Linked DNA regions of Canis lupus familiaris. The protein of the gene in region 1 interacts with the protein of each later gene in a pairwise test. Links are inferred from orthologs where the notes say so. Each region holds a gene or a part of one and is shown in the gene's direction. Other genes may lie near its edges.

Region 1 (4,430 bases):
AAAGGTGGAGAGGGAGAGAGAATCTTAAACAGGCTCCACACCCACCATGGAGCATGACACGGGGCCCGGTCCCACGTCCCTGAGATCAGGACTTGAGCTGAAACCAAGAGCTGGATGCTTAACTGGCTGAGCCACCGAGATGCCCCTATGTGGGATCTATTTTTTAAAATAGCCAAATTCATAGAAACAGGTTAGAATGGTGGTTGCCAGGGGCAGGGGGTAGGGGAATGAGGAGATGCTGGTTAGAGGGTACCAACTTACAGTTATAAGATGAGTAAGTTCTAGGAATCTAATATTCAGCATGGTGATTATAGTTAATAATACTGTAGCCTATACTTAATAGTTGTTAAGAGAGTGGATTTTAAATGTTCTCACTACACACGTGCACAAAGTAATAATTATGTGAGATGATGGATGTGTTAACTAACCTTATTATAATAATGGTTTTGCAGTATATACACGTATCAGATCATCACACTTTATACCTTAAACTTAAATATGTCAATTATATCTCAATAAAGCTGGAAAATAAAATAGGACCAAAAAAGTAGGCCAAAGACTCCACAGGCACTTCATTAAAGAAGATCCACAGATGGCAAACAAGCATATGAAGATGTTCCACATCACATGTCACTAGGGAATTGCAAATTAAAACAACTAGTACACACCTACCAGAGTGGCTAAAATTCAAAACACAACATCGAATACTGACAAGGACATGGAGCAACGGAAACTCTCATTCATTACTAGTGGGAACACAAAATGGTACAGCCACTTTGGAAGAGAGTCTAGTAGTTTCTTATAAAACTCAACATACTTTCACCATAAAATTCAGTAATCACACTCTTTGGTATGGACCAGAGGAACTGCGTAAAAAGATTAGCGGTTGCCAGGGGTTATGGTAGAGGGAGGGAGATCCACAGGTGGAGCGCAGGGGATGTTTAGGGAAATGACACTTCTCTATATGACGCTATGATGGTGGATATTTGCCATTACAGATTTGTCCAAACTCATAAATAAAATGCTCAAGACCAAGGATGAGCCCCCCAAATAACCTATGGTCTCTGGGTGATAATGCTGTGTTCAAAGAAGGTTCATCAATTGTAACAAATGTGCCACTCTGGTGGGGGGGGTGCTGATAATGGGGGGGGGGAGGCTAAGCCTGTGCTGGTGCAGGGAGTGTATGGGAAATCTCTGTCTCTTCTCAACAATTTTGCTCTGAACTTAAAACTGCACTAAAAAATAAATCCTATTACATACAATCTTAAAAATTAAAATAAACAAGCTGAGCAAAGACAAAAAGTTAGCCAAAGGCCTTCTTCACTGCTGATCCCTTCCAAGTCTCCTCTGCGGCCCGGCCTTCCGCTGGAAGGTTAAAGAAAAGTGGGGAGAGGCTCGCAGGCCCCCTGCAGGAGGGGGGAGGCCAGAGAGCGGCGGTTTAGGTTTGGCCTGAGGCTCCTGCAGCAGGTCGCACGGGAGGCACCGGGAAGGGCCCACGCTCGGTCGCCCGGCAGCAGTAGAGACGTCCCCGCGGCAGAGCCCAGGCGGGGCAGGTGGCGGGCGCCGCGGTCCTGCTCAGGCGCGGGGACGCGGAAAACCCCCGGGACGAGCGGCGGCAGGTGGGGCGGGGGGGGGGGGGGGGTGGCGCACAGCGGGAAGAAAGGGAGGACGGAGGCAGCTTGGGTCGGTGACTGTCGCGTCCGGCACCGAGGTCCCTGGGGCAGGTGCGCCCACCGCCGGCCCTGGGAGGAGGGGGACCAGGGAGGAGGGAGCCCGGGGAGGAGGGGGACCGGGACCCGGGGAGGAGGGGGACCGAGGAGGAGGAGGGGGAGCGGGACCCGGGGAGGAGGGGACGCGGGACCCTGGGAGGAGGGGGACCGGGGAGGAGGAGGGGGACCGGGACCTGGGGAGGAGGGGGAGAGCGGGGCCCGGGGAGGAGGGGGCCCGGGGAGGAGGAGGGGGAGCGGGACCCGGGGAGGAGGGGACGCGGGACCCTGGGAGGAGGGGGCCCGGGGAGGAGGAGGGGGACCGGGACCCGGGGAGGAGGGGGAGAGCGGGGCCCGGGGAGGAGGGGGACCGGGGTCCCGGGAGGAGGGGACGCGGGTCCGGGGAGGATGAGGAGGCGCGGGTCCGGGGAGGAGGGGCGCGGGGCCAGTCGCGCGCGGACTCCGAGTTCGCGCTCTGGACGACAGGGGCTTTGTCACTTCTCCTCTGTTGCCACCAAGCGGCGACGCCAGCGCCTCGGACGCGGAGGGCCGAGGACCCAGCACGGGGCAAGGCGAGGACGGAGGGGCGGCCGCGCACTCCTCGGAGCCCACTCGGTCCGCGGGCGACGGGCGACCCTCCGCGCTCGGGCCGGGCGGACGCTCCCCGTCGGCAAAGCCCGAGAGAAGCGCGCGGAGCCGCGGGGCCCCGGCCGGGGAGAGCCCGAGCCGCGCGCGCCCCCAGCCGGCCGAGGCCTCCCTGCCTCCCGCCCTCCCGCCCTCCCCGCCCTCGGAGACCGGCCCGGCCTCGGGGCTCGCACACCTCGGGCCGCGGAGGGAGGGAGGGAGGCGGGCCGGACCCCTCGGGCGCGCGCCCAGCTCACCTGCAGGCGGGGCCGGAAGCGTGTCTGCGGCCCGGAGGCGCTCGGGGCGGGCGGAGCGAGGCGCGCGGCGCGGGGCGGCTCCGGAGCGGTGAGTGGAGGCCGGGGGCCCAGCTCGGGCTCGGCCGCTGTGCCCGCAGGGCCTGGGGGGCGGCCTGGGCGCGGCCGGGGACCCCCCCGTTCCCGGAGCTCTGGGGCCCGCGCGAGGGGGTCGCGGACGGGCGGGCTCGGGGCTCGGGGCTCGGGGCTCGCACTTCCAGCCGGGGCGACCCGGGGCTGCGCGCAAACCGTTAACACCCGGTCCAAGTGCAGGTTCGGGCTCGTGGCCGTCGCTGTGGGGGACTTCAGAGCCGGCGGGGGGCGACCCAAGCTGCGGCCCGCGGCTAGAGCTCCCGCGCGTGCCCGCGTCCCCGCCCTGGGCCGCCGCTCCGGGCCCCCTGCAGCCGCGGTGCGCCCGCGGGGTCGTGGGCCCAGAGCCGACTCCGTGGCCGGGCTGCGGAACCGGGCGCCCCTCCCAGAAGGGGAAGGGCCTCGCGAGGGACTTAGCAAGCCCCCCCACCCCCACCTCTGTTGTCTTCTTTTGAACTTGTGAAAAATGGCCTTAAAAAGCATTTGGAGCTACTTAAGAGAGAATGCTTTTTTTATTTTCTCCCCCTGGCCAGAGCCTCAAGAGCTTTGAGGGTGCAGAGAGCTGAGTGCCTGCGAAATGGCCCTGGTGCCCTATGAGGACACCCCGGGAGTGGGGTTGCAGAAATTCCACAAGCCTCTTGCCACCTTCTCCTTTGCGAACCACACGATCCAGATCCGGCAGGACTGGAGGCAGCTGGGAGTCGCAGCAGTGGTTTGGGACGCGGTAAGTACAGCCACTGGGCCTCTGAAGACAACCACAATTCATTGTAAGAATGGTCTTTATTATAATTTTATTATTTTTATTTATTTTTATTTTTTTATGATTTTATTTATTTATTCATGAGAGACAGAGAGAGAGTGGCAGAGACACAGGCAGAGGGAGAAGCAGGCTCCACACAGGGACTCGATCCCGGGACTCCAGGATCACACCCTGGGCTGGAGGCAGCGCTAAACCACTGAACCATCCGGGCTGCCTTTTATTTTATTTATTTTATTATTTTTATTTTATTTTATTTTATTTATTTATTTTATTTTATTTTATTTTATTTTTTAATTTAATTTAATTTATTTTATATTTTATTTATTTTATTTTATTTATTTTTATTTTATATTTTATTTTATTTTATATTTTATTATTTTATTTTATTATTTTATTATTTTATTTTATTTTATTTATTTTATTTTGTTTTATTTTATTTTATTTTATTTTATTTTATTTTATTTTATTTTATTTTATGGTTTAATTTTTTTTATTTATTCATGAGAGGGGCAGAGACACAGGCAGAGGGAGAAGCGGGCTCCATGCAGGGAGCCCAACGTGGGACTCGATTCCAGGACTCCAGGATCAGGCCCTGGCCTGAAGGCGGTACTAAACCGCTGAGCCACCCGGGCTGCCCAATTATTATTATTTTTAATAACAGGTTTATTGAGATATAATTCATATACCAAACAGCAAGAAATTAAAGGTGCCAGATGGAGCAGGACGCTATGCTGTGTGGGCAGTGTCCGTGACTCCTGCGGTCCCCAGGAGGGACCTGGTGGGGCGAGGCTGCGGTGTCTGTGCCCCCTCTAGGGGGTCACCCACCAGCAGCTGCTGAGTTTCTGCACATCACTAAACTGGGCCTGGAACCATGCAGGGTGAGGGGGGCGTGTGATGTCCCCCGCTAGTGGGAAGCTGCCCGAAACCCTTGGGCTCCTAAAGCATTTGTTGACTTGG
Region 2 (4,575 bases), on another chromosome or scaffold:
TCTGAATTCCTGTCTTATTTCTACTTCATTTTGGGAAAAAAAAAAAAGTAACACCTGGAACATTCTTATGTGAACTTTGATTTTTTTTTTTTTTTTTTTTTTTTTTTTTAAGATTTTGTTTATTTGACAGAGCACAAGCAGGGGTAATGGCAGAGGGAGAGGGAGAAGCTGACTCCCTGAGCAGGAAGCCTGACTCGGGGCTGGATTCCCAGGATCCTGAGATCATGACCTAAGTCAAAGACAGATGCTTAATGGACTGAGCCATGCAGGTGCCCCTGAACGTTCGATTTTATTATCTCAATAATAGCTGCCTTTTGAGTGCTAAAGCCATGTAATTTTTATATGTTACTTCTGCAAAAGAACTTCCTGGAGTAATGGATAGTACCCCTATTTTACAATAAGCACATGGACTTAAATCCATGTAGCTTGCTCAAGTCCCGACAGTTAAAAGTGTTAGGGGCACCTGGGTGGCTCAGTGGTTGAGTGTCTCCCTTTGGCTCAGGTCATGATTCTGGGATCCTGGAATGGAGTTCCTATCAGGCTCCTGCTAGGAGACTGCTTCTCCCTCTGCATATGTCTCTGTTTCTGTCTCTTATGAATAAATAAAATCTTAAAAAAAAAAGTGCAGGACATAAAGCCAAGTATCTTTGACTTGTCAAGTCAAATGTCAAGTAAAGCCTACTCCTTTCTCTAGTATTTTAAGACCCCACTTTCTGGGCCAGGAAGACTGGTCTCTTGCAATTTCTTCTGTTGACAGAAACCTTAAGCCTGCCTCAGTCTACAAGGTTCACCCTCAACACCTGAAAATGATGCATCTGTCCCACATTCTTTAATAATACCCCTTTCCCCAACCTTGTGGGATGCTTCTAACAAGACTAACTATACAAAAATGAATAAATTGTTCTTTCATTAAGTTTGTAACAATTCTGAGAGGAAATACCCCCCAAATAGGAAGGACGTCTGTTTGAGTTTCTTTTAGCAATGTTATCTAGTTTCTACTTGGGAATTTTTTCCGTCTAAAATCTAATAATGAGTTTATAAGTTTAAGATCAAGTTAAAACGAATTTTATGTTATTTTTAAAGATTTTATTTATTCATGAGAGACACAGAGACATAGGCAGAGGGAAAAGCAGGCTCCCTGCAGGAGCCTGATGCAGGACTCGATCCCAGGACTCTGGGATCATGACCTGAGCCAATGACAGATGCTCAGCCACTGAGCCACCCAGGTGTCCCTGTTAAAATGAACTTTAAATAAAACTGACGGTCTTTTCTCTCGAATTATGGTTCTGAGGAAATTCATCTACATGCTCTAATTTATGGAAAGGGGTGACCTGCATGGACAAGAAGACACAAGCTCTAGAAGTTCATCTCCACTGCGAGTATCTCCGTGGAGCTTACAGCCTGTCGCGCTTGCCGCAATGTTTAATTGGGGAGTACAATGAGCTTCCTAACTCTTTACTCCTTGATCACACATAGAAAACGCTAATTATTGGGTGTTACAAAATCGACTTCAGTGCTCTGAAGAACGACGTGGACTCTCCATTCCTTAGATTCTACGACTCATCCTCTCTGGCAGACACACAAAAGAATCCCCGCTCCACGTATACAAAAAAAAAAAAAAAAAAAAAAGGGAGCGGACCACCGCGCATGCGCATGCTCCTCACTCCAGCCGGCGGAGCCCTCCACCGGCGGCTAATGCGCCTGCGCGCGGGGAGACTCCTCGGCCGGGCGGCGGGCGGGAAGCCACGCGGAGGACCCGGATGGAACCCCGGGGCGGCCGGCTGGAGGCCGCTGCGGACTCTTCCGTCTCCCCGCGCCCCGCAGGTTCCTGCTGGGGGCCCGGAGCCGAGCAGCCGGCGCCCGGCGGCTGTACCCCAGCCTGAGCGGAGAGCGACCTGCAGCCGGAGAGCGGCGCCCGAAGGAGGCCTGAGCATCCCTTGGGCCTGCGCCCGGGCCCGGAGACGGGCGGGTGCGGAGCGAGCGGAGTCTTCTTTCCTCGCCGCCGGCGCCCGCAGCTCGCGCCGCTGCCCTAACGCGCCGTCCTTAATAATACACCAACAGTGCCTACCAGTTACGAGCTGCATGGTCTGCACATGCATGCTTAATAATTAAAGCTCCCAACAACCCTGTAAGGTAGGTACTATTGTCATCCCACTCGAGGAATCGAGGCTCGGAAGGGACCGGCCTCCGGGTGACAAAGCCAGGCTGCCCGGCGTCTGCCGCCCGAGCCTTTGCTCGGCTGCTGTATCCCCGGCCCTTTCCTTCTGGCTGTCGCCTCTGCCAAGTGTCCTCGCGAAATCCCGACCCCGGACACCGCGCCCCCTCGGACCGGAGGAGGCAGTGCCGAGACAGAAGAGGAATTGTGTTTGGCTCGGAGTCGTAGGTTTACAGCTGCACTGGGCTGTTGTCACTGCAGAGATACAGGTTTTAGCCTTTCCCAGAGATTTCTGTTCTGTGAATGCTCACTTCTAACGGGTTTCTCTCACAGTCGTGATACTTTTTCATAGCTACCCTTATACCCCGTAAACTTGCAAAAAAAAAAACAAAAACATTTTACTGGTTTGTATCACATCTTTCACTCTGCATCTTAAGATATCTCAAACTCTCAAAAGAATCATTCTGAAAACGAATCATGTCTAAAGATAATGCGTTTTGCTGACTACGATAACTTTACTGTTTATTACGGAAAATTCCCCTACATAACATAAAATATAGTGAGAATGATGCAATGTTGTGTGCCCATCATTCAGCTTCAGCAATTACCAACTCAAGGCCCATCTAAGGTCTTCTGTCTCCACCCCACTGGTGTGTGTGTGTGTGTGTGTGTGTGTGTGTGTGTGCACGCGCGCTGACGACAGTCTTTCAAAGGAAATCCCAGACGTGTTTTCATTCTCACCTTGTAAGCAGCAAAGTCTGTATCTCTAATAAATGAGTACCCTTTTTCACACAAGCATACCATTAATCACACCTGTTTAAATTAAGTTTTTTCTCTTTTTCCTCCCCATTTTTTTAAGCAGGCTCCACCCTGGGTGTGGAGCCCAACGTGGGGCTCAAACTCAGGACCCTGAGATCAAGACCTGAGCTGAGATCAAGAGTCGGATGCTTAACCAACTGAACCACCCAGGCGCCCCAGTTAACAATAATATGTTGATGCTTTTTTAGTGTTTCCATATTTTAGGATATTGTGATTACTAAATAACACAGAGGAGCAAATGAAAATTGTAAAGTTCTAAAACACAGTAAATTCCTCTTTGAGAATCTTGAAAATTCTTGCTACCTATTCTCCTTTTTTGAGGAGGATGAGGACTACTACTACAAATGACTTTTTCTAAAAATCTTTTGTCAAAACAGGTAAATTTTCAATCAAAACATACCTGAGTGGCATAGTCAGGGTGGGTTGGAATGGACCCTTAACTAGTCTATTACTATAATAATTTCTAATGAGACTGAGCAAAGCTTTTTCATTCACTTCTACTCCTCCCCAAAACATACATAGTAAATATACATAAGAGAGTATAGAAAAATAAGCATTTTTATGCTGATGTTATAATTTTATTATCAGTTAGGAGAGATCCTAAACATAGTTGACCCTATCATCATCACTTGACAAAAGAAAGCTTAGGATCAACTTTTAAACTTCAAATCATCTTCCAAATTTTAACTGACTCATAACAAGTAGCCATGTGGCTTGCCAACTTATTAGTTTACATAGAAGTTCATTTTATAGCTAGTTAATTGGGCAGAACTACTAAAAAGTTAGCGTTTTAATTAATATTCTTGCCTTACTTATTGTGAGGTATTTTTTTATGGCCAAAGTGGGCATTTGGATTTAAATGTGTCCCTGTTTTATTTCCACCACATTCTGTAGAATAGAACTTTGGAAACTTAGGGGATCATTTGTTTATCTGGGAGATAGAACTATCTTCTAAGGTATATTTGAGCCTACCTGTGGGTTATACCTTTGCTCATTGCTAAGGAGAAAGAAAAAAAGCATGGCATTCTTCCTTAGGTCCCTGAACTTTCTTAGGAGGTTGTTATCAACTCAGAAACTTAAATGCCTATTAAAGCATTTAGACTATTTACTTAGCAACCTAGCCTATCCATAATCTAGTGGATGGCCTGAAGGATATGTTTTCATTTCTCTAAATCTAACTACTCACGAGGATATGTATTAGAATCACCTGGACAAGATTTAGAGTCTTTTTTTTTTTTTTTTACGGTAATCTATGTGCCCAACATAGGGCTTAAACTCATGACCCAAGATCAAGAGTCCCCTACTGTACTGACTAAGCCGGCCAGGTGCCCCAAGATTTAAGAGTCTTTTGTTCTCCTATGGAGAACATGATTTATTAGTTCTAAGGAAGGGAGATGTATAATTTCAGAGGAGTTCCCAGTGATTGTGATGAGCATCTCTTATTAAAGATTACTATCTTAGTTACCATGCATAAGAATTATCTAAAATGCTTATGTAGAGTACAGATTCTGAGCCCCTACTGTAGAGCTAGGGAATCAGAATCTCTGGAAGTGGGGACCATGAATCTGCATTTTAGCAAAAGATTTTACTGATTCCTCCAT

The links.
Region 2: the proteins of METTL21A (region 1) and ZBED8 interact in binary tests that used the Homo sapiens proteins (3 or more experiments, as listed by UniProt). The two-hybrid records come from large-scale screens. The link is inferred for Canis lupus familiaris from reciprocal best matches to the Homo sapiens genes METTL21A and FAM200C.

Annotation. Positions count from the first base shown.
Region 1 is NC_049258.1:15,864,044-15,868,473, reverse strand, and holds the start of METTL21A (protein N-lysine methyltransferase METTL21A), read left to right. Parts: upstream 1-1,439; 5' UTR 1,440-1,724; intron 1,725-2,587; exon of another isoform or gene 2,588-2,675; intron 2,676-2,826; exon of another isoform or gene 2,827-2,896; intron 2,897-3,246; 5' UTR 3,247-3,290; coding exon 3,291-3,437; intron 3,438-4,430. UniProt on the Homo sapiens protein: Protein-lysine methyltransferase that selectively trimethylates residues in heat shock protein 70 (HSP70) family members. Contributes to the in vivo trimethylation of Lys residues in HSPA1 and HSPA8.
Region 2 is NC_049225.1:51,217,171-51,221,745, forward strand, and holds the start of ZBED8 (protein ZBED8), read left to right. Parts: upstream 1-1,722; 5' UTR 1,723-2,133; intron 2,134-3,017; 5' UTR 3,018-4,575.